Drosophila melanogaster: one gene and its partners. The gene in region 2 interacts genetically with the main gene of each other region. Each region holds a gene or a part of one and is shown on either strand. Other genes may lie near its edges. The genes, in order: Pdk1, Tl, Myd88 and mxc.

Region 1 (4,984 bases), on a different chromosome or scaffold from region 2:
ATTCCAATGGGCACACGAATGAAGAAGAAGAGCCAGCCACCGCGTACACGCACACACTGTACAGAGCGAGCGCGCGTATTTTTTCGACTCTGCGCGTGCCTGTGTATATGTATGTGTGCGGCTTTAATTTTATTTAATTCTTAGCTTTGATTCTTAACATTCGTATTGTGCTTCCCTTGATTTGCACAATTATGAAACCGCCGCAGTATGTTTCTCGAAACAAATCACAAAAGTTCGCCAGAAACAACAATAATCAAGACAATAATTCCGACGCAGTAGGAAAATTTATAAGAAACGAGACGCTGTATGTGTCTGTTATTTTTTATGCCCTCTTATTTTTCTAGGAACTGGCTCACACTCATACGTTGTACTACATTAATTTGACTAATGAAAACAATCGGTTAAATACTTTGAACACAACACGGAGGGAGAATACACTTATTTTTATTCCGATTTAGATTTTATGTAATTTATTTGGCCTTTTGTGGAGTATTATTTAATCGCACCACTACAGCACTACATCACACGAACTTGGGGCGTCGTGTATTTGCCTGTGTATGTATATCAATGCCAGCGCGCTATGGGTGTGTGTGTGTGCGTAGTCGAACGCCGCGTGCACGAAGCGACTGGTTTGAAATCCAATAAGAAACTATGGTCGGGCGAGACTTTGACTTCCAAGCATTTGGCTCGAGCAGCGAAACCGATGGGAGACGAGCGCCACCCGAGAGAACTCTCTTTGGCGTTGCCGCCCCCGCCAAGCTAACCCTCGGCGCTCTCAGTTAAATGGGGCCAAAGCAGCGCAGTCGTGTCGCCGCTGGCGTCACAATTTTTTTTACAAGGCGAACAAGTTGCGCGCCACTTTTGAGAGCGTAATTGTTGCACTGTAATTGTTTGCCAGTGACTTTTTATAAATAAACACGACGGGGCAAAGCGAAAACAAGTTTCAGTCGAAATCCACACAACTACATAAGGCCAAAGAGAGCGCACGCTCTTTTTGAAGAGAGAGAGTGAGAGAGAGAGAGAGAGAGAGAGAGAGAGGGGAGACGACCGCATTCCTAACTGTAAACAAGCAAGAAGCGGAGACACTATAAAAGTGGGAAAGAGACAAGGCGACAGGCTAAGAATGCGGCGCTGCTGGAAAAACTCGTTTTTCCCGCTGGAAAAGGAAAATATGGATAAAAAAGAATTCGAGGAATTTTCGTGCGAAAGAGAAAGAGAAGTGGTGTAAAAATAAACAAGAATCCGAACCCGATTACGAATACATACACAGGGCAACGAAGGAAGAGAATTGGAATAGCTGAAAAACAGAGCGGACAAAACAAAATGCTTGAAAAGCGAAGGGGCAGCTCAAAGCGGACAAGCTGATACGTAGTAAAACATACCAACGACGGCAACTTCAAATGTAAATAAGTATATAAACGAGGTATGTAAGCGGATGAGTGTGTGCAACAACAACAGTAAACCTAATGACAACAAACCGAGCAACAGACATGCAAGTGAAAGGCCTTTGCGTTGTTTCCCATCCACTACTCAAGTTATTTGCAAAATAAAAACAGCTAAAAGAAGACAAAGTGATGAACTCGGATCGGGAGAGAGAGGGGCATAATTTTACTTTTGGCTGCTTGCAAGAGAAAATAAAATAAATAATTCATTTATTGGTTGCTGCTAATAGATAGCAATTAAAAGTAAAAGAAACCACAATAAATTGTTGTTTAGAAACCAGCTGGAATCATTGTGTTTTTTTGCTGTGAATTTTTGTTGTTGTTTTTAAAGTATCAAGCAATTTGCGAGGCAATGAACTGCAGTTGTTAAATAAATTTAGTCAACCCCTGCGGCTTCATTAAACTTTTTTATGCATTTTATTTTCGTTGTCGGGTGCCTGCAAAATAATTATACACATCCACTGCCTATTTATGTCGAGTAATATAAGCATCTGAAAATGTATTCATAATCAACTCCATCTAGATAGCTTTTAAAGTGGTTGTTATACAGACAGTCGTTGAATTATCTTATTTTATTGCCCACTTAGTGAGGAGTTTATGGCTTTGATCTTTATATATTATACCAGCATGTGTTGTCAATGGAAATTTTTTAGATGAAATGTACGGAAATATTTAAATTTATTGGTAACAAGAATTGCAAAAAGTAAAAATACTTTTTTTTTTTGCTATATAGCTCAAACATTAAATTTCACAGCTTTATGAGTATTTCATTATTTCATGTCAATAAATTATTTTGCAGCTTTTGTATTTTGTAAACAAAAATTTGTACAACCAATTCAATTTTTTTTTCCAAGAACAATTTTGTGTAATTTAACGATAAAATTGATGGGAGGTATTTTCTCGAAAGCATTACTTGTAGTTTGTAAAAAAAGTTTTACTAAATTATTTTAATTAAAAACAACTTTAACAAATTGTACTTTCGCATTACCCCATATCTATGCTATAAACTTATTTTTTAACACCTTAACAAGTCTCATAAGCCTCATAAGATATATTCACTTAATCAAAATTTAAATAAATATAAGTATATATGTATCAGGGCCAAACACCGCACCTTTTTAAGACACTATTTACCTTGATAGACTTTATTTTGCGCACAACGTAGTTGTTAATTTTGTTGGACCAGCTTTTACATTTCATGATATTTTTCGCGTTCTCCGCCGTTCTCGGGGAGGATGAAGAGGCAAAGACAACGGTAAACGGATTGCTTTCGTCACTTGAAGTTGCTGCCCTCACTCATTTCAGTTTCATTTCGTTTTACCGGTTTTTGTAATATTTTTTTATTTGCTTCACTTTGCGATATTTATTCACTTGAGTTTTCACCGCCCGGCGACAGTTGCAAAACCTTTGTGATTGCAAATGGTAATTATACGTATACACGAAGACTCGGGTCTTACTCGCATTTCTTTTTGGCGCGATAAAAGGAAAATTGGACGTTGTGGTTTTTCCAACAGGGCGTCAAATTTGTATCCGTGATTACGACCGAACCCGTCAAATTTCCGATTCGAAATGAGTCGAAAAGGCGAAAGAAAAGGCAAGGAGAGCGCGCTAAACTGGGAACGGCGGCATTGGGCCACAGTTACCAAATCGTGAGCGCGGAGAACTGGAAGAGAGATAGAGAGTTATGGGGTAAAAAAGAGTGCGGAGAAGTGTAAGAATTTTCATTTGAGTTTTAATCGACACATGAATAATGGGAAAATTATGTTATTTTTTATTAAGTTAGCTTTAAATTTATATTTTTGTATTCTTTTTTAAATAATTAGTTTTTAACGGGTTTTGTTTGTTTTTCTTTGATTTTGCGTATATATTGCATCTGTTGAAACACGTTATTGTCACCCTAATGTTGGATAGCTATTAAATTTGGGTATTTCTGGAACTTTCTTGAATTATTTGCAGGTCTTTCGAAAAAACAGTTATGCATATCCTATTCATTTCACCGATTTGCAAGTCACGGTTCCGTTATTGCCGCGAGTGGGCAAGCTATTTGCGTTTTCTTTTACATTTCGAATGCGCCGCCCATTAATTATTTATTTATTAATGAGTAAGTGACGCACTTGTTTTCATCCACTTATTTGTTGTTACTGCAACGAATCTTGCTTACATTTACATACATACATACATAGGTACATAATTCCATCAAGATCATGCATCAGTGCCACGCCCCCATCTATAAAATGAAATTGTGGACAACGTCGCTGTCGTAAACTTCCAAGGCAATTATGTATGTATGTATGTGTACAAATGTGCATTTTCTGGAATTTAAACTATTCCCGCTCTCTTCGCGCACGGATCGTTCGTTGATCCGCACTCTGGGTTCCACATTAGCATAAGTGTAAGGCCTTCTACACAAACGCGTTCCACAATTCATTCACATCGCCTGTTCCACAACTTTCCGGCGTTCCGTCACGTTCGCGCGCCTTTTCCACCCAGCGTGAAAAAATTCACTTGCTGCTCCCGCTCCCGCTCACGGTTTTATTCTCGTTTTTACGTTTTACTACGAAGCGAAAACAAAACAAAATTAAGGGGAAGCGGAAACTGCAGTTGCTTTGGCTTTGCTGACGTGGATGCCGACGCTTTCGTCATCAAGTTTTTCTCTCACTTTGTTTTTTTTTCTCTTTAAGAAATATTGTAAATATTAGTTCTGTTCCTGTTATGGTTTTTTATCTTGTTAAGAAATATTGTAAATATTAGTTCTATTCCTGTTATTTTCTATATTTGGTTGAGTTTCCATTTATGTATTATTTAAATTTCCTAGCTTAATTTGTTTAAAGACTTACTTGTGAATTGCTGCGTAGTTTAAATAACACAGTTTAATAAACACATTTAATATTCAAAGACCTTATCAATTAGCAATATAAGTAATATTTCTTTAGTTTTTGTGTACTTGTGATAAGCACTCATTCAAACTGAACGGCGTTTAGGCTCAAATAAATCTATGAAAATTACAATTCGTCTTCATCGAATGAACTTTGACTGCATATTTTAGAAATGGTCGCGAATTTTCTTCTTACCTATTTTATTTTATATAATAATCAAATTCAATTTAATTTGTCTCACCCTTAGCGAGTTCGGTGGCTTAGTTAAAATCGTTTTTATTTGGCCTCTGCTTTTAGCATTTTGTGGCTAATTTATTTCTTGCTTTCTGCTAAAAAATATTTGAAATTAGCATTTTTAATGGGCAGCAATCGAGGTTCGGCGAGACACAATGTCGCCTGAAAAATATTTTTAAAATCCCATTTGCATATATTTTCAGCCAAGCGCTTAGTATAAAAAGCTAATTTCACGAAATCCCAGCTGATTTAGTCATCAACGGTGGGCTGTGCACCAGTTTCTTTCTAATTGCTGGACTTCCCCCCGCTTGGAAGCTAAGCTTGGCAGACGAACCGGTTCGGAACCCTCGGAGCTCTCATTTAGTTGCCCATTATTAAACCCGTCGGTATCCCAGAGTTACACATCAATGGACCCGCCGATTCGTCCTCAAT
Region 2 (4,844 bases):
TAAAGGGAACTGGGACGGGGACAAACAATGGAGAGATAACCCAAAGATAGACAGAAAGTGGAAAATTAATGAGATTTTTCGTTTGTGCAGCTGATGAAGGCATTAGGGTGAAAGCAAGTGCAACGACTTCATTTCCCTCCACCGAGAGAATGTCGCAGTGGGGAACTTATGGTTATTCCTCCCTTCACGATTTTATGGTCAGCTGAAGCAATAAAATTGAAATTAATTAATTGAATGCAAGGCAATAAGCCCTGTGACTGGTCAGGCAGTTCTATCTCAGTTCAATCTGATTGGAGAGTAAAAAACCTCACACGTTGAAATCACACGAAAAGAAATGAGTTGTTAAAAAAAAACAGGTGATAACAATACGGTAAGTATGATATTACGCTATATAATATAAACTTGTACTATATTAAAACGTGTTTATATTAGTCATTATAGTCATCATATAAGAATGTAGTATGTAATTACATATCACTTTAATAACAGATCTTATAGATACAATCTTCAGATCTTCAGTCTTGTTTTTTTTTTGCGTGTATTTGTCTCCCATTTACGTCACGGATCTGGTTTGACTTTGGGTTAAACCGCCCGCTGATCTGAGATCGGGAGAGTAAGACATATGGTGGTTCGATCGTAACGCTCTTTTCAGCTTAGGAGGCTGACTCATCACGCTGAGCGGACCACAAGTCATAGAAACGCTGAAAGCCGACGTGCTAATTATCAACACAAGTCGCCAATAACTAAGAGTGAAATAGCAGAAAGCTAAAAAACACTTGGCAGATGTAAAAACCAAAGCGGAGTCAGCTTTGAATATTGTTTTTCTGCCTTTTCGCTTATCAACCGAGTGGACAAACGCCCTCAATAATGAGAGGGGGAAAAATAAAGCTAACAACTAAAAAAGCGAGTACAATGAATCTTAAATGAGTCTCTCATTGTGCAGAAATATTTATAACAAACGTGTTTGTATGACAATTCATTTTGGGCAACTTTTACCGCCTGCAGTTGGACTAGTGGCGGTTTGGCCATAACAATAACGGAGCCACAATTACAGCTACTTTCTAACGTGGCCAAGACGAAAGACCCAAGCGGAGCATCTTGAACGTTTGCAGTTTGCCGTTTTCCACTTCATTTTTTTCGTTCACTTCTTTTTTTTTTGGCAGAAGTTAAGTAGACTGTTAAATGACTTCCGCAGTTTTACCTTCACAGACGAAGACTAGCATTTTTTTTTTTCAGTTTGCCGCCATTGTTATAGCCGCTTTGAAAGCTTCTTTGCCTTTGATGTGGGCCAAAGAAGAAAAATCTTAACCTAAATCCAGAGTACAGTTATTCGGAAAACCCTCAGGCGAAAGAAGCTCAATGGCAGGATGTTAACTATCGGAAAAAAATACAATCAAAATTTATATATATTGTATAATTATTGTTAAAACAGCATTGTTCTTGAATTCAAGACCTGCTGCTTCTGAGCGATAATCGTTGAACTTTTGGGGTTGAATCTTGGGGTTTTCCGAATTTTTCATATAAATGTAGCTAGTGGTCAAGGGCTATCAACTAAGAAGAGATTTATGGTGTTGGAAAACCCAAGAAGAATCGAAATGAATTAAAAACAAAAGTCTAAGTTTATCATAAGGTCATACGATTTTTACCATAATTGGTACAAGCGAGAAGATTCTTGTCCCTTCCTTCTTCTCTTATTTTGTTTTGCTGTTTCTAATCAGCAACTTATTAGCTTTTAAAGCACAAGTGGGCATTTTCTGGTTTGTTAGAAGTACTTTTGAAACCTGCATTACCCAGGTATTTCCACCTTCAATACGAATAAAAGTCCCCGCAATGAAAACCTGTTGAACGAAGCTCTCTTTGGTAGTAAATAAACTTTTGTTGTGTCTGTTTGTTTTTTCGATTCCAAACTGGTTTTTGGCCAAAAATTCAAAGTGTTAATATGCTGGCTCGTGAGCTTTGGGCCAAATGCGTGTGGCTTTGTTTTCTTTTTTGTTTCGTTCATGGGTTGGCCAAAACGCAAAGCACACCCCAAGGCCGAAGAGCACTTGCTGCTGCACTGCAGCATTTTGCACATTTCCCTGGAAAGTGCCGAGAAAAACCACGGAAATTGTGGACAACAAGAGTGTGACACACACAAGCACTGGGGAAAATTGTGCAACGGTTACAACTGCTGAAACTGTTATTCATCGCCAATTTGCACAGGAAAAAATACGGTTTTACGCAGAGTACTAGTAGTAGTAGTAGTAGTAGTAGTAGTATTAATAGATCAATTTAAAGATGTTTACAAATATTTTACAGCTCATTTTATGTACTTTAAATTGATTTTATCTGACTGTGATCAAAACTGGAACAAAATGTCAACCAATTGCCCGATGAGCCATCAATTTGGTAAATTTTTTTCTGTGCAATTATAGGCGAATTGGACTGATCAGAGAGTGGGACAGAGATAGCTGAGCTTAGCGCGAGCCAAGCGAAGCTTAGCACAAAGCAAAATCGAATGGGAGATAACGAGACAGAGCGAGATGGCACGGTTCAAAGTGTAATAACTGAACAAGGAGACGTAAATACTTACCGTTTTAATACGTGTTTTATTAAATGTGAGGTTAGCTACTCCGCTGCGATCTCTTGTGCAAATATTAATATTTATTTGGCTTTTCTTAAGCTGCCACGAACAAACACGCACTGGCACTGTTGTTTAGCTTCTCTGTTCGCGCTTGTTCGCACTTTGAAGCCGCGATTTTTTGCGATTTTATTTTTGGTTAAATGCTTGCTACACTTTCACACATTTGCATTTAATTGCGCCTTGTGTTTCTTGTTTTTATGGATTTTGTGCTGCGTAGCGTTGCTCTTAACTTGGCTTATTCGGTTGCCAAATCGCTGGCCACAAAACGAGACAAACAAAAGCGGCCCACAACACACGAACGCGGGACTCTGGCTGGGAAAATCAAAAATCCAACTGCTACAAGCGCGACAAGCGTGCGTTCACGTCGGCGATTCGGAACAAACTGAACTCGACTCGAAAAGAAAGAAGAACTGAGAGATGAAGAGCTGGTAGTGCGCTTAGTGTGGAGGGAAAGACGAGAGAGTGGCTGAGTCGGCGGCAAGATACCCTTTGCTCAATATAGAAAACATTATTTACTTAAATTTGTAATCAGCCTATTAATATATTTTATTTTAAATTTTAATAATTTTGTCACAGTCTTTATATGTTTTATATCATTTTGTTTGCTTTTGGTTCCTTAAGCTCCAGTTTGTTAAGACATTTTAAATTATTATTATATTTTTTATATTCTACTTTTAATAACATCCTATCTTGCTACTTTTTTAACCTTAAATAACGTGTGAAGTTATTTCTATAAAGCTGTTTGGGTTTTATATATAATCAGCTTATTATAAATAAATATGAGTTGGATAAAAATGCTAGTCTCGAAATTTTTTTATATTTTTGACGTACTGATAAGAATTTTTAGAACAACAGTTCTTGTAGCAATAACACAATGTGATAATATGAGGAATCGAGCTTTCAGTTGATTTATGTTAGTTGACTAGGATTTTTATAAAAAATAAAATTCTTTCCCTAACTTCTGAGTGGCAAACGATATAATAAGTCGAGCAATTTCTTCTACCCCACAAATACCGTTCGAAGGTACAGATGCGTGGGAGAAAAAGAGAGAGACACACGAATTATCTTCGTGTCTGTGGTCGTTGCACTATAAACAAATCGCATGCGATAAAAGTCATGCGAGAGAGGAAAACAGTTGAAATACAGGTACTTCGTATAAGAGTATAAGAGAAAGTGGTAGAGCAAGAGAGCCTTCTACTGTTTTGTTTTCATTTTTGGGGGAAAAGCCGGCAGTTGTTGTTGGCCAGTAGTTCTCAGTTCTTGTTAGCCAAGTTTAACCGGTTAACTTCAAAGTCTAAGCATCTCAGGCAGCATACGTAATAACAGTGATTATGGATTTATTAGTTGATTAGTCTCTCTCTCTGAGTAAAATGTAAAATGTAATTGCCAGCACGTAGCAGACTGCTTGCTGTTGTTGTTGTGTGCCAATTAAAACCACACTTCCACAACATCTACCCTCTCGCTCTGCCGCTTGCGACTCAAATGAAGTGGAAGTGCGTTCTGCTAATGCGGAACAAGGATGGGACATAGCTCCCGGGGGAGCAGCGTGTGAAGTGCGACAGGGACGGGGAATGGGAAATGCAAATGGAAATCGTATCCCTCTGCAACTGTGTTTTCTGTAATTATGCACGGCGTATGGAAAATTAGGACATGCTTATGAATAATCTTTGAATTCATGTACAATTTTCATAGCAATCTTGTGTTGATTCCATTTCCCAATTGGTAATTATCTAAAGTCTTTGAAATTTAAATAAATTTGTTGAAATATTACAACAACAATTTTAATGTTTACTACTAGGCTTACACCACAATTTTCAAGGATTTAAGATGTTTTCTTTCCAAGCAAATAACTTTACGTCAAATCAAACAAAGCAACGCAAATCTGGATAAGCTTAATAGGCAACATAATGGCTACTTCTCCCCGCAAAGATGCATTAATATACACATTTGCCACACTGCCCGTGTTTTTCATTTCAAATACCTAGGATTTACTGTAAATTTCAAAGATATTACCGAAATATGCGCATGTAATTCTGACCGAAAGGAAATTCCAGTAATTTCCCATTCAATGTACCCACATGGGAAAACCCAGCGCACAGGACACACATCGGGAGATTTATTCCTCATTTGCCTTGTTTTATGTTAGCTGCAAAATTTCACTTTGAATTGTGCCGAAAATTTAATTTGATTTCATTTTCATCAGTGGAGAAGCACATAAATA
Region 3 (7,999 bases), on a different chromosome or scaffold from region 2:
CGGAACTGGTCGATAAACATTTCCACTCAATATGTACGCGAACAACTGTATGTAAATACATATACGGGGATTCACACATCAACTGCAATGTTTATTAAACATGAACGAACTAAAGGTTGTCTACATTCAACAATAAATTATTGAGCCAAACATTGAACAGTTTATTGCCGCTCAACTGGAGCTAGCTTATTTCCGATATGGATACAGTGCGTTTCATAACCATGACCGCCAAGTGCCACGTGTCGCGAAGGTCGAAGTTCGAGCGTTCGATGCCCGACATTGAGGAACATATGTATATTGCGTTTTATCCACATTCGTTGTCGCTTGACAAAAGTTGGACATAATATATGGTTGTCGATCGACTCTATATGGTTTTGAAACGCACTGTCCGGAGATACATATAATACTATATAGACTCTAGATACATTGAAAGAGACGATGTGATGATGGATGACGTATTGATAGTCTTTGCTTTATAACAAGTGAGTGTGCTTAGGTGCACATCAGGCATATGGGCACGCATTCACAGCAATCAGTAACAATCGGTAACAGCTAGGCTAGAGCTAATCACATGAGGCAACCAGCCGATGGCGGTACCGAGAACAAACAGTTTACTTATTGCTAGCAATCGTCTAAAACGGCTTGAGCAGTTTACAAAATGATAAAGCACTGCTCGCACAATGCAGCCATATGTACGTATGCGTTATATATGCTCATTACTCATTCTCAGATGGGGTCTGAGTTGCGAGAACGGCGCGCGAGATAATTAAATTAAGTAAGTCACTTATCGAACGCGTGACTAACAGTTAATTGAGCACTTCGATTAGCAGTGTCGCGTATTTAACCTCACTCAACGCAATTGCCAATTTGTCTGTTTATCAAGTCCAGAGTCATATACATAGAGCATATAGCAATATCGTGTCGTATTTGGTAGTCTGTGTGCTTTTGTGATACATTTGTGCGGATATGTGGTATTGTCTTTATTCGTTGTTGTCTTATATAAGTTAACAAGTGCGTCTAAGTATATTAAGTTAGTTGACTTGATAAGGATTAGGCTAAAGATTATCACTAGGCATGGAGGGTGACGACATTGGTGACTGGGCGGCCACAACTAGACTGGGCACACGACAAGGAATCAAAGAATCGAGAAATCGAATGAATGGCTATCCTAACACTATGATCTCAGCCCGGCGTCTGCAGCTTGCTGCTGGATCGCGAGAATAGGGCCTTCTTCAGGATGTTCGGCTGCCACTTGATGAAGCTCTTCTTGCTCTCCGACGTGGTGGAGATGTTGGAGCTGCTGGCACTGAGTGTCCTCTCGCGTTCCGTGACATTTATGGTGCTGACGGAGTGGGCATGACGCAGAGTCTTGCCGCTGGCCCCATCGCTCCGCGCCGTCTTTCCAAAGCTGTGCGTGATTCTGCGCAGGAAGCGATCCTTTTTCTTCGGCTTGTGCTCCGGCAGGGGTGAGCCGGTGTCACCGGAAACCGAAACGATTGTGGTCTCCGCCTCCGGCACTTTGCAGCTGTTGTAGTTTGGCATATCAGTGACATCCTTGTCGTTGATCTGAATCCGAATGCTGGGAGTGGTCACCCGGGGAGCCGATTCCTCCACCGGCGAGGGACTGCATAAAGAAATTTTAGAGAATGCCAAATTTATGATATGAGTGATAAAATTCCAACATGTTTTACAATTAACAGCAAAACTAATTTCGCTTCAATATAATCTTACGCCCAGATATATAATACATTTATTTCCTGTTTATAAATTTGTTTCAAATTTGATTACTCATATGCAGTGTATTACTTCCTGGGCACTTTAAAAGTCGTATGAGTTCATCTTTCTGAAACAAACGTATCTTCTTTGAATTTAGCAAAACTAAATAAAAATACCTGCTAGGCTGTTCTAAGGTTGATCGCTCGTACGCCATGTGATATTTGCTTATATATTTTGTTTACAAGCAGTTGGTATACATTTGCACATTTTATGTGAATGTTGTGAAACGATTTCGCAGCCCCTACAACCAGCAGTAGCAATAATTGAACAGTAAAATCAAAAACTTAAGCTAATAAAATGTATTCTAAAACAGCTTCTTAAATTGGGATGACTAGACTACTTCATGTATTCGTATTCAGTTTGCAAACCTCATTTATCTGTTGGCTAGCAATCTACATTATCTTGAGATTTTATACCCCTAAAAATGTATCAAGTATTTTTGGAACACATACATATACATATATCGCAGGAAGTAGCAACACTTACGTCTGCACCTGGCGCGTGGAGTAGATCGAAAAGGCATCCAGATCGTGTAGGGAACGAGCCAACTTGTCCCAGAAGTTGAACAACTTGGAGTCCCCGGCGTACTTGATGTGCGTGTAAATGCCCAGGGTCTGGGGTATGTGCATGTCCGTTTTGTACAGAATCGGTATGATCTTGCGAGTGTGATTCTCTGGGGAAAGTCAGATCGTTGAACTTGTAATGCGACTCTGGCTCTGCGATACAAATGCGTATCAGCTACTCACCAATCTGGATCTTTTGGGTGAAGTTCACGAGGTACGTGTTCTCCGGACTCCGAAGAAACTCCTCTGTGAGCACGACGATCAGGTGATTGCAGCGGGTGGCCATGAAATGGGATAGCTGGACATGCTCGAACGGAACGCCCATTAGCATGTCGCGGTGGCGCAGGAATAGCTGCAATAGAACGATCCCATGGTTATTTAATACAACACACAGCAACCGAGCGCATCCCACTCACCCTGAGATTGTATCGCTCAGACTCTAGATTATTCATGATCTCGGTGGCATGATCGATGTCTGCCTCCGCGTACAGAACACATGCGTTGTATCTGGGCAGCGGTTGGCCCATCTGTACACATCTCTGGTCCTCGTCGCTGAGGATCTGCACACTTTGGCCCACTGTGATGTTGTTGCTGCTGCTGTAGTTGTTGTTGGTCTCGAAGCAGTCGCTGGGGGGCGGCGGACACGCCTCCACGAGAGCAGTCTGTCGCTGCTCCTGTTTCATGATGAAGCGCTGGGTGTCCTTGGCTTTTGAGGAGAGCAAAATTAAAACAGTTTTACTAAAGGGATTATGATTGCTAAAAACTACAAGGCCGCACAAAAAGTTTTCTTAACACATCATTCGTAAAGTAAACAACACAATTTATACATGTTAATGTCAAAATCAAATTACTTAAATTATGTTTATTAAATAATAAATATAACCCTTTGTTGATATATAATGAGCTTAAAGGAATGGCATAGTGAAGTTTATCTGAGTTTCTGCACACAGTCGCTAATATATGAAGCTTTCATAACAAATTGGTAGTATTTATGATTTGTAACTCAATATTATGTATGAATAGATAAGTGTATGCATATATCCATTCAGATGTCTGCCATTGTCTCCCCATCTTTTTATTCCAAATATATTGTCAGCAGAAAAGATCATTCTAGTAAGAGGTAGTGAATTCTAGATTCAAGCAGTTATCATCAACGACACATTTATAAAAAATTTACTTTTTTAGTTATTTTTAGTTTTATTGGAATATTTCTAAAACACCCAATGAAAGATCATTAGAAAAGGAATTCAAACATTTCCTTTGAAAAATTCCTAATACGATTTTAATTATGTGTGCTTTTTTATACCTTAAGCATTCAACTTCCGAGTGCGTTCATTTGTTTTTAAATCGAACCATTTTGGTCACAACGAATATATCTATACAACATCTGCTCCTAAACAAAATTGACTGTTCGAGGTTTTTTATTAATGACAACAGTTTTTGCTGGGTGAATCCCCATTGTGCAAATAAATAAGAAAATTTCGTTCTTAACTGATTGGCATTTTCTATAGTTTAAGTTCTGTTGTTTGCGGCTTTTAGAAATTATTGTTTTGAATTTTTTCTTTATGGCTGTGTGTTTTTCAATTTGTCGGGATGTGGTAATAAAAATCTTGTAAGTCGAAGCGTTTTATTTGACAATAAATAGAAATAAACACAAATTAATCATGGGAAAGTGGGTGACTTTTATTTCTGTCATTACGTATCTACTCATCATAACTCAATAGTTTTATGTATCCGACGATAAGCTTTGTTTGACTTAGATAAATGTGCGATAGATAAGTTAAATATGTACGCTTTCTGCATATACTCCCTATATTATATAGATTACCACGTCCATTTTTATAAACTCGAAACGGCTTTTCCGGTCATAAAACCAAAAATGGATCAGCCAAAAATAATTGATAAGTGTGGCTCGCCATTAAAGTAAAATTTAATGGTTCATTTTCCGATTTCCAACATTTGTGTACATATCATTTGATAAGTACATTATTTAAAATTCCTCTTCAACTTCGCAAACTCGAGAACAGTCAAACATACATAGTTAGTCTAGACGTTTAACTAAATTTTCACTGTCACGATGGCATTTTGAAGTAAAAGTCGAATCGTCAGACCATCATTTAAAAGCTAATCTAAAACAAATGATACTCAAAACTCAAGTGACATAGTTTAGTTATAGATAGATAGCGACTACCATAAGTAAAAAATAGTTAATGCCTACCCAGATTCTCCTGGATATCGTCGCAGACGTCCCACCGATCGATAATGCCCAGGAAGTGTTCCAGATGGCCCACCTTGGCGGTCTGGGGACTCCGCTGGCTCCAGCTGATCAGCACCAGATCCATGGGATTGTTGGCGTTCTCGTCGACGAATCCCTTCTGCTTGGCCAGCTCCGAGATGCCGCGCCAGTCCCGCTGGTAGCCCTCCTCGGATCGCAGCACCTTCTTGCGGTTCAGCATGCGGGACAGCTGGGTGCGGGTCTCGATGCCCAGTGCGGATAATGGGGTCTCGTTGAAGTGCCCCAAGCCCGTTCCCGTGCCCGATCCCGACCCGGAGTCCATAACTCCCTCGGCCACCACCATGCCAGCGGTGCGATAACGCCGATAACTGACGTCAGTGGCGCCGTAAATGTGATGGTGATGGGGCGGATTGGGATGGCGGTGGGTATGGTGATGGAAGTGGGAGTGGGGCTGGTAGTGGGAATGGGCCACCGAGTGCTGCTGATGGCATACAAATCGAGGGCGCATTCGCACTTGGCGCTGGCTTTATTGGAATAATTGGTGTTTGTTTGCTGGCGTATTTGTTTTAGTGTGGATGCGATGTGATGCGATATATATTTATCAACTGACGTTTATCAGTCGAGAGGGCGGCGAGCAATAAAACGATGAAGCGCGTGAGTTGTGCTGCTCTGTAGATTTTTTCGAGTTTTCCGATCGCGCGTGCTTGTTTTTTTTTTGTTTTTTGCGGGCGGATGAAGCTGAAACTGGTTAGAAGGGGGTGGTGCTTTACTGCTAAACTTCTATACTTCAGTGCGGTGCGAAATGGACCGAGTGACCTCCAGCACCTTGCCGCGTCACAGTCGCGTTGTTGTTGCTGTCTCGGATTCTGTTTTTATTTATCTGTCTGCTCCGCTGCGAGAGGAGATGGAGATCTTCGCCTTCGTTTTCGTCGCGTTTTTTATTCGTCTGGCGTATGATTTTTTGAATATTGTTTAAATATACACAACACACACACTCACAATCAGTGGCGCACGCACACAGTGTCGCCCTAAGCACAGAAATAAATTCGTTTCGCTTTTTTCGAGTGCGTCCGCTCCGGTTTGTTGTTTTGTTTCGACTGGTTCTGTCCGCCGTTTGTGCTTTTGTTTCTGCCTCGTTGTCCGCTCCTCCTCCGCCTCCTCCCCAACGGACTACTCTTCGCGCTCACTCTCCCGCGCTCTTTCTCCACCGCCTTTCACTCGCTTGTTTATTTTGGTTTCGTTCCGATGCAGGGCGAAAGCGCGGGGGCCACAGGCGGAACTATCAGCTCAGCTGCTTTTTCTAGTCGGCTGACAACACTCTGTTTGCACTGGCTAATTGCTAATTAATTTATCTGCGCTGCGTTCCCACTTTTCAGATCAGATCGCGATTCCGATAAGCTCGTGGCGATCGATGGGCAAAAGCTTGGCGAGTCACAGCTTTTCGGGTGGCCAGTCATCGGCGAGGTTTGGTACTTTATCGGGGCCAGTTATCGGTTGCGGTATTTTTGGTGCGCGGGCCACACTTTAATAGGTTCCAAAAGCATTCACCAGATGGCGCTCTAAGAGTGGTTGACTTAATTTCCGGTTGGTTAAATATAATTTAGGAACGTTGGTTCTTGCCGTAGGATTCCTAATTATTCATAAGCATAATTGATAATGATTTCTTGCTAGTGCAAAAGCAAGAAGAGTAGTAAAGTGAGTAAAAACGCACTCTCCTATTCGACCGGCTGATGTAGGCAATCTAACTCCTTTCAGTTATGCAGAGAATGGTACCTTTAATGGTGCCTCAAAAAGGAATATTTTACATTTCGACCTGTCCAAGACATACTTACTCATTTTACCGAGAAATATTGCTTCCCCGAAATCAACTGATTTGAGACGATAATGTGGGGAAATGAACATGCCAACCAAGGACCACACTCTCGTAAATAATAGTCAGAGAGCACTTGTAAATTCAGTTTATTTTCATTTGATTTTGTTTGTTCTTTGTGTGGTTGATGCCTGCACCTCAACGCTTTTCATTTTCAGTTACAAATACTGAGATATACTTACTACACAGGTGACACAAATTGATTTATCGCTTTTATGGCTTTGTTTGACTTTTTCTTTCGATTCAACATTTCTTGCTTTGCTTGATGAATAAAACGCTGAAGGCGTTCAAATGTATTTTAAATATATTTGTTTTGCTTTTTCATGGTTTATTTTTGTAGTTTTCGTTTTTCGGTCGGCGTTGCGTTTTGCATTGCCAGCAACAATTAACAGTAAAAGTTGATGCCTTGCACACAAGTTGAAGTTGAAGTTACCTGCTTTTGTTTGAATTCCGTTGTTAATTTATTTAATGTTGATTTACTCGGATAAGCCCCATCATTAGTTATTAATGTACCTACTTGGTATTTACTCATTTGGTTTGTTTGTGGCTCTATTTACAATACATCTGCCTGTGTGTGGTGTGGTTTGTGTGTCTTTCTTTGTATTTCGTTCATTTTTCACTTGTAAATAATTGCTCAAACTGGATTGGGCACCAAAAGTCTCTCGTTCAAAGGCTAAAAAGTTTGATTTTTTTCTCGAGAAATAATTTCGTTATTCATTAATTTATGCTTGCTGCGTGTTTGTGTTTAACCTGTGTCATTATTCAATATTCATTGGTATTTCGCCCTAGAACGTTTCGAGTATTTCAATTACATCAATTTACTTGCTTCGATTGTAGTTGTTTGTATAATAATTCAGCTTACATTTTTACACTTAGCTAGCCATAAATATAGACATTAGTTGTGTTCTTTTAATTAGGTCTCCCCTACCTCCTTCATTCAGTTAATCTCCTTTTTACTTTCGTTAGTTTAAGCATGCAGTTAAATCAATTTTGCAAACCTAGTGGATATGCTCTGCCCCATGTGTTAAATGCAATTACTAAGTATATTGTTGTTTGATTGTATATACTAAATATCCTTTGTGACTGCCTGGCGACAAATTTGATTATTTTAGCCTCTGTTTTAGCCTGTGTGTATTTGTGGTCAAATTCGAATGGCTTTCTGGGCCAAAATGCGTATCTTACAAATCTGAATGAGGTGTGTGATTCTTTGTCCCAGATGTACTTGCATTGCATTTAACAACGACCCGCTCTAAGTAGATTAAATGTTTAAGTTTACAATTTATTGAGCTAATTTAAAGCTTTCCATTTGTTTTCGCCCTGCCCGCCATTGAAATTCCGCTTCCCTGCTCGCCAAATGGCTTAAAAACAAATAAATTCGTATACAGAGAAAACTAATTGTAAGGAAAAGCTGAAACTGTCCAACTATAAAATCACGTAATTTACCTGAAACATGTGCTCTTAAATCAGATATTTATTGCAAATAATTTAGCCAGTTTTTAGTTAAGAGTTAACCGTATCAGTTTTGAATGGAAAAACAAAAATTTGTTTGTTTTT
Region 4 (7,574 bases), on a different chromosome or scaffold from region 2:
ATAAGCATACAAAAAATAAAATGCATATGTTCACCACTTACATGGTGGCCACCTCCAGATCTTCCTCATCTTGCGGCCCACTCCTGGATGGGGGCTTCTCCACCAGCGGCGTAGACGTGGCCGAAGGCTGTTCGCCAGCAGCAGCAACTTCCGCTCCCGTTCCACTTCCTCCACTTACACTTGCACTTCCCCCTGTTGCCGCTGTCCCGCCACTATTGCCGGTCAGGCGGCGTATCCGCTTCTTGGGTATATTGCGAATGGCGCTGGCCACCGGTTGGCCCAGACAGAGCACCTGGGCACTGGCTATGCGCAGCGTATGCAGCTGTTCGTCATCGGTCATCAAGCGCATCTGATAGCTTTTGAAATAGCTCGATGGCTGACGTATCATCGGATTGCTGGACTTTGGTCCGTTGTCCGCATATGTGAAATTATAGGTAAAACGCTCCTGGCTGCTGCTCAGGCACATGTCCTGCTCGAAGTCGCTGTCATCGGGCTCCGAATCGCATTTCGATGGCGGTGGATCCTGTTTAGGTTCTTGTATTGTTTGCTGAATTTGCGGCTTTTGCTTTGGAGATTTTTGGGTGGATTCCGCCTCCGCTACAATGGGCAGTGCCGGAGCATCGGTTGTGGAGGAGGGTACCCTTGCCTCGACACGTTTCTTGGCCGGTTTCTTGGTATTTGCCTTGATTTGGGTCTTCGTCTTTGCTCCTTCAGTGGATTTGGAGAGATCTTCCGGAGCAGGAGCTAGTTTTGCAAAGACAATATATTAGTTTCAATACCCATTCGATTGGATCTTAACTACTTACTTTTATTTTCGACTAGGCGCGAGGATCGTCGCATACAGAGATTGGCTGGCTCCCCGTTCTGTACCTTTTTCGGGCGTCCACGTTTTCCAGGGGCAGGCTGTGCCGCAATTTCAACCGCTGCTCGATTTACCTTTGGTTTGATTACAATCGGTAATGATTCCTGTTTTTTCGCAGATAGATTGAGGGCCATGAGCAGAGCGGGATCCAATTTGCCGGCTGGCGGATCTGCTGGCGCATCTGTGGCGGCACCGACTGGCGGACCAGTAGCCTCTGTGGACTTAACATTCGGATTTGGTTCTATTTGCTTTTTAGCTGCTTTTGTTTTCAGTGGTTCGATGTGCTTTCGATTTTTTGGCGATTTTTGACTGCTTGGATTGGCCAGTTTGGCATTTTCACGCATTGCAGTGAGCTTCTTGTTGGCAGTCTTTCTCCCTTGACCTTTGATCGGTTGGGGTTGCTCCTTAAACTTGGCCACTACACGTTGGCGTTTTTCATTCAGCTGCTGGCGTTGGTGTTCCTGACGGCTTGTAGAGGCCGTTGGAAGAGCGACGGATGAAGGATCGTCCGCCTCTGGCGGAGGCGGTGGAGGCGGCGGAGGAGCAGCTGGCGGTGTTAGAGGAAGCGGCGGAGGCGGAACAGGAGCAGCCACCGGTTTAGGAGGTGTAGGTTTTGTTTGCTGTTCTCCACTGGTATCCGTCTCCTGGGCCTGCTCTTTGCTTGGTGTCAGCCAATTCCGGATAGGATAGCGGACCTCCCCGTCCTGGCTAACTAACTGACCTGGCTGACTGTCGATAGCAAGCATGGGCAGAACTGCATCCTCAGAACCGGCTGCCTTCAGCCACTCTTCGTCTTCCGTGCTGCTAATGTTCGATAAGTTATCTATGTTTAGTAGCATCTCCTTTTTCTTGCTGCACTTTTCGTCGGCATTCTCGCCATTTGCCTCTTCCCCTCTGCTTTCCCCCTTTCCGCTGTGAGAACTTGACGAGGATGAGGAACTCGATGATGAACTACTGGAGGAGCTTGAGCTCGAACTGGATGAGGACGATGAACTGGTTGCCGAGGAGCTAGAATTACTAGATCCTTCAATAATTGCCTCGGGCAGGCCAGGCAAAAGTTTATAGTGCGGAAGCTGCTGCTGATCGGAGGGAAATGAGCCAGCTGTAGCGGACTCCGCACTGTCCACCGCCTCACTGCCAAAGGATCGAACGCGTCGAAGGACGGTGGGCTCCAAGGACAGGACAACGGGTTGCTTCACAGCATCTGGTGTCTTTTCTAAAACCGTTTCATTCTTTTCACCATCGTTTTCAGTTTCCTTCAGATGTTCATCCATTGGCTTCTCTGGTCTTTTCGGTGTTTTCTTATTGTCCTCAGCATGTTTGTCCTCCGGATGAAGGCTTTTCTTTGAACACTCCATTTCTATTAGCTCTTGATTCTTCTGTTGCGAAAGCTCATCCTCTGCCTCAACCTTTTTCTTCTTGGGCGTTGACCGAACCTTGGGTTGTTTCTTATCCTGCGGATCACCCCACTGTTGTATTGCGCACTGCGCATTCGCATCGGTGTGTTCCGCTTCATCCGGACGATAATAGGAACTGCCTGAAGAGTACTCAGTCTTGGCAGCACTGCCTATCGGAGTACCGGGCATCTGTCCAAAAGGTGTCAAGCGAAATCCAGGTGTGATGGCACTCAACTGGGGCGTATCCATAATACTTTTGGTATCCGAACCAAAGAGAAAGCTGCTACTGGGCAACTTGCCATATGGCGTGTCCAGAGGTGGAATGGCCATTCCTGGCGTGGGTGGGATGATAGCGGCTACACCAACACCAGCTTCCTTTGATGTGGTGTCATCTTCTACGGCTCCGCTTGCTCCTGCTCCAATGGGAGATGCTTTAAACGGAGTGTCCAGAAGCATGGCCATGTTGGGTCGCGACAGTTCTGCCGCTAAGGCCTTCGCTTGCTCCTGATCCTTTGCATATATGCATCCTTGTTCACTTTTCTTCTTCTGATCCTTTTCCTCGATCTCCGCTTGGGTTTCGTCTATGGTTTCTTCTATGGTTTCGTCTATGATTTCTTCTTTTGCCTCAAACACCTTCTTTTTCTTCAGGAGCTTTGGTTTCTGAGGAGTGATAATCTTGATGTTGATCTTCTCAGTGGAATCCCCAACACTGCGCTGCGGTTTCTTTGCCAGATTCATGGGCTCCGCCTTCGCTTTGACCATTGGAGCCTTTCGTGCTCTCGACGAAGCTGAAGTGGGTGTATCTTTCTTCTTTGGACGCCTCGAGCGGCCGGAGGCCTTTACCTCCTCGCGCTTGGAGTTAATCTCACGCAGCCGATTTTCAAGGTCAGAATTGGAGCCATGCAACTGGCGCTGCCAGGCGGCCATATCGTTATCTACAACTGCGTCTCCTCTGGCGGCGGAGCCTACATCTGGCTTTCCTTCAATCTTCTGCTGCTCCTGGAGATTCTCTTTGCTGGCCTCGGCGCTGTCATCGTGAGCGGTCGACGATGCGCTGCAGGCAGAGTTATTTTTGGGCATAATTTTCTTTTGATCCTTATCCGTCTTGGTTTCCGATTCCGCCTGGGAGATGATTCGCTTGCAGGCCTTGACCGCTGCTTGTCGCTTCTGTTTTCTTTTGGGCGTGGCCACCAACGGAGGAACCGGAGCTGCTGACGGAGCGGCAGCTGGAGGATGGGCCCTGATCACCGTCTGATTGCTGCACTCCTCCATGGCGAAGAGTGGTGGCACTCCTCCAAGGCCCTCGTTTGAGCTCAGGTCGCAGGCGGCCTGGATGATCTCCACATGGTTGATAATTGGCTTCTCTTGGGCTTTGGCCAGCAAACCAGGTCGCCTAGTGGACAGCGGCGTATTGGAATGCAGGACGCCACCAGGAGGAACCTTAGGGGAAAAAGTTAATGTTCGTACATGCGAAGTTCTCTTTCGGGGAGTGGATAAGCTACGAAAGGCCTTTACGTTAATTATTCCCGACGTCGAGGGTGTCACTCTCTCCATGACTTGTCTAGATGAATCCAGGGATGCGGGTGGAAACTTTCGCTGCTCCTCCTCTAGTTGATCTATCGGTTGCTCTTTTGCCGCCGTTCCCTGGCCCGCCTTGTTGTCCACTTTGGCTGCATCTTTTATCAACTGGACTGGAGGCTCCACGCTTGGGGGAGGTGGTTGTTTCTGGGCGCTGCTAATGATAATGGAATTGGGGGGCAGCTGATTGGCAGACAGAGTAATCGGCTCCGGCAGCGATATCTCAATGTGCGAGTCATCAATGTTGGCAAAGGCATCCGGCCCAAGTTGCTGGGCTACCCACTCGTTGTTCACCAGGAATGGAAGATGCGACAGCAGTCCACCGTTCGAGAGGTACATGGGAAACGTCAGCTGCCCGGTGGTGGCGTCCACACAAACCTGACCAGCAGCTGTCGCCTCCACCTCGCTGAGCATTGACGCTGGATCGGCAAAATTTATATTGAGGCCTTCGCTTGTAAAGCTGATATTGGACGTATCCAAACCAGCAACCATTTTTTGGACACTCTCGTTGGAGTTCAGTACGATAAGCTTGGAGATGGAGAAATTGGGATCTGCATTGGTTCCTGCGGTGGCTGCAACGGCGGTGCGAATAATAAGCGGTGTTTGCGGCGGCACGGGATCCACGGCCTGTTCTGTCGGCAGCACATCTCCATCAGCAGCGGGAACAATAGCAGCCCCAGCAGCATCAGAGGCAGGCGACACACCAGGGTCCTCCTCATTTGCCAATGGTTCATCCCCGATCACCACCTCCTGTATGATGCGATCGAACGAGGGATCCTTCTCGGTGGCCTCCAGTATGTTCTTCACTAGACCATCCAACATGGCGTCACAGCTTACCGACGGATTGTTAACAGTCACCGTCTGCAGCGCTACGTTAATATTCTTTACCAGCGTCTCCTGGAAGTCCTGATTCTTAATTATCGCGCAGGCCAGTTCCTGAAATCAATGTAAATCGAAAGAGTGTTTTTTGTTTAGAATACATAATAGATGCACTATTGGTTAATTAAGCAGATATGCATTAAGCATGTCTATGGACTTACAGGCATGCTTTGCGGCGTGAGCAGAAGTGGATTGGACTCGGTATGACCTTGGCGCGGCGTGGAATTGTTGCGCGGACCAGGACCATTCGCCGGAAGTAAGTCATCCTCCTCCAAGTCCTCGGTGGCCGTTGTGCTCTCGCCATCCTCTTCGTCCAGTTCCGCCTCGCAGTCATCCTGGCTGCCTAGGAAACTCTGCCTGACCTTGTCGCGGTTAACGCTGCAGTAGAAGTGTGGCGGCAGCAGACGCGGTCGCTTGCTAAACGAAGGCGAAGAAATGCTGTTCACGGGAGAATGGGTGCGCCTGGGGAAAAGGGGTAAGAGAGCAATGAGAATTCCGATGTGCTTGTGTCAAGGAAAAATCTATAATTACAAGCGCCTTCTCTTGCGATGCGACTGTGATATGGTGGGCTCGCCTGGGGTGCTGCTTTCATTGGTACAGCTACTCCTCTCGCCGGCGGCTATCAGTTCGCTGACCCGTTCGGACAGCTTCATCTGCTGCAGCTGCATACGCATATCCAGCGGCAGCTTCTGCACGGCACCGGCCACTGAAAAGAGAGATTTTCGGTCAGCCGCAAAAAAAAAGAAACGCAAGGAGCGTGCTAATTTACCCAAGCTTGTGATCTTGACATGCTCGCAGATTATCTCCTCCAGACCCCCGTGAAGGAAGTTGTGCGTCTGCAGGCCCTGTTTAAGGGCCAGGAACTCGTGGCGCAGGTGAGGCGATGTGCGACACAGAGTGTGTGCGGCCCTTTTTAGATTCTGGTTGACTAGGTAGCCTACAAAATGGAAGAGCATAAATATTGCGAGCTAGAAAAGCGTCCAGGGAAAACCTACCCAGGACCAAGCGAGCCACGTCCGAATGCAGGACAATCGACTCCATGGCTGGACTTTCCGACTCAGCTAAGCGTCACCATCCACTCGCTTTTCGCCTTGCCTTTCTTTTTTTTTTCGCTTGCAAGACTTTAGGTTTATCGAACGCACTTGTAATGCCTTATTATTGACTGTTGCAGGTTTAATCACTCAATAGTTAGTCGGAATTGAATCAGCGCTTTAATTCGAGAGAGAATAAACCATTTTCTCGCCTATTCGCCGACTATTTTCGTTTTGTTGTTGCCGATTCTAGCGGCGCACTGTACAACACACATAGGTTAGCATAGCATCTGTGTTTTTTTTGCCGCCCGCCAAAACAACGCAGTAGGGTTGCCACAGCGCCGAACTATCGATATAGTCCCGTTGTTTGCGCTTGGCTGCCAAGCCTTATTAGGAGCGTGGGAAATAATGGTAATAATTAAAGCAAAGAAATACGTCTCTTTCGCTTAAAACAAATTATAGCAGTTTTTATTGCTTTGATGGTCTTGCTTCAATTCGTTTTTATGTGTACGTTACAGTACTTAGAATCCGATATTCGTTAAACTATCGATATGGGAATGCTGCAAATACCTGGCATCCCAGCAATTCATAACTAGACGGCGTTGCCAAATAGATCAGAACGCAAAAACCAAGTGCAATATTTTATTCGAGTGACTTAGATTACTGGTTAACTGGCACTCAATGGCTGCCAAGAGTATCGAGAAGGAGAAGGGCGAGGGTCAGGAGCCCGCGACATCAGCGGAGAAACCCGATCCAGCCGCACCCACTGAACCAGCTGAGGAAAATTCCAAAGAACCGGCGCCGGAAGACGCATCGCCGGATAAAAAGGATGGTGGACGCAAAAGGAAGAGGCATTTGTTCAATTCGATTCGCGGTCAAATGGAATTCTACTTCGGTGACGCCAACTTGAGCAAGGATCGCTTCCTTCGGCGCTACGTAGAGCAGGATCCATGTGAGTAGCTAAGGTTGGCTCACCAGCCAACATAACACTGATCATGTTATTCTTTTACAGATGTACCATTGGAAATCTTTCTCACTTTCAATAAGATAAAGACGCTCACCCAGGATGTGCAGCAGATAGCCAAGGCACTAAGCAACTCCCAGCTTCTGGAGCTGGATGAGACCGAACTAAAGGTCAAGCGACGTACCAAGCTACCAGATCAGCGCGATGTCAACGACAAAACCTTGTATGTAGAGGCCCTGCCTGCAAATGCCACTCACGATTGGCTGAAGGAGGTATTCAGCCGCTACGGACCGGTGGCCTACGTGTCCCTGCCCCACTATCCGGGCACTAAGAAGATCAAGGAATTTGCCTTTATCGAGTTCGAAAAGAGCGGGTCCTTGGAGAAAGCTGTGAAGGCTTTTGCCCAGATACAGGGCGTTTTGTCCGTAGAAACCGATCCCAGTGATCTGGCCAGTGTGCGCTCCTTTCAGCAGCAGCAGCAGATACAACAGAAAGCGGAGCAGCCGCAGTCAGAGGCTGAACAGGTTGAGTTGCCAAAGCGAAATCTAAAAAGGGAGGCCACCGACAAGGATCGCGAGGAGATACACGAGGTGAAACGGGTTAAGTTGGAGGAGGGCCAGCCTAGCGAGACCTCTACAGCTGGGGAAACAGCGAGTGAAACGGATGCAGAGGGCACAGCCGAAGCCTCCGAGCAGGAGGACAAAACAGAGGCAACCGATGGCGATGAAGCTGCCAAAAAGCGCCGTCGCAAGCGCAAGAAGAAGGCGATCGTGGACAAGCCAAACATTGAGCCCAGTGCCCTGGAGCTCAAGGTGCTACCCAAGACTAGTTGGAGCAGTATGCGCAATAAGTACTTGAATCTA

The links.
Region 1: of Tl (region 2) and Pdk1, changing one suppresses a phenotype caused by changing the other (phenotypic suppression), as found in Drosophila melanogaster (one study listed by BioGRID).
Region 3: of Tl (region 2) and Myd88, changing one suppresses a phenotype caused by changing the other (phenotypic suppression), as found in Drosophila melanogaster (2 studies listed by BioGRID).
Region 4: of Tl (region 2) and mxc, changing one suppresses a phenotype caused by changing the other (phenotypic suppression), as found in Drosophila melanogaster (one study listed by BioGRID).

Annotation. Positions count from the first base shown.
Region 1 is NT_037436.4:127,481-132,464, reverse strand, and holds the start of Pdk1 (Phosphoinositide-dependent kinase 1), read right to left. Parts: upstream 3,016-4,984; 5' UTR 2,643-3,015; coding exon 2,577-2,642; intron 1,736-2,576; exon of another isoform or gene 894-1,735; intron 654-893; exon of another isoform or gene 1-653.
Region 2 is NT_033777.3:26,797,209-26,802,052, reverse strand, and holds the start of Tl (toll), read right to left. Parts: upstream 3,013-4,844; 5' UTR 2,573-3,012; intron 1-2,572. UniProt on the Drosophila melanogaster protein: Receptor for the cleaved activated form of spz, spaetzle C-106. Binding to spaetzle C-106 activates the Toll signaling pathway and induces expression of the antifungal peptide drosomycin.
Region 3 is NT_033778.4:9,302,712-9,310,710, forward strand, and holds Myd88 (Myd88), read right to left. Parts: upstream 6,012-7,999; 5' UTR 5,084-6,011; coding exon 4,558-5,083; intron 3,046-4,557; coding exon 2,756-3,045; intron 2,692-2,755; coding exon 2,523-2,691; intron 2,450-2,522; coding exon 2,263-2,449; intron 1,625-2,262; coding exon 1,183-1,624; 3' UTR 112-1,182; downstream 1-111.
Region 4 is NC_004354.4:9,237,448-9,245,021, forward strand, and holds the start of mxc (multi sex combs), read right to left. Parts: upstream 6,021-7,574; 5' UTR 5,758-6,020; coding exon 5,712-5,757; intron 5,654-5,711; coding exon 5,486-5,653; intron 5,423-5,485; coding exon 5,248-5,422; intron 5,179-5,247; coding exon 4,878-5,178; intron 4,774-4,877; coding exon 807-4,773; intron 745-806; coding exon 42-744; intron 1-41. Other genes in the region: Larp7 (La related protein 7), read left to right, coding at 6,429-6,699, 6,760-7,574.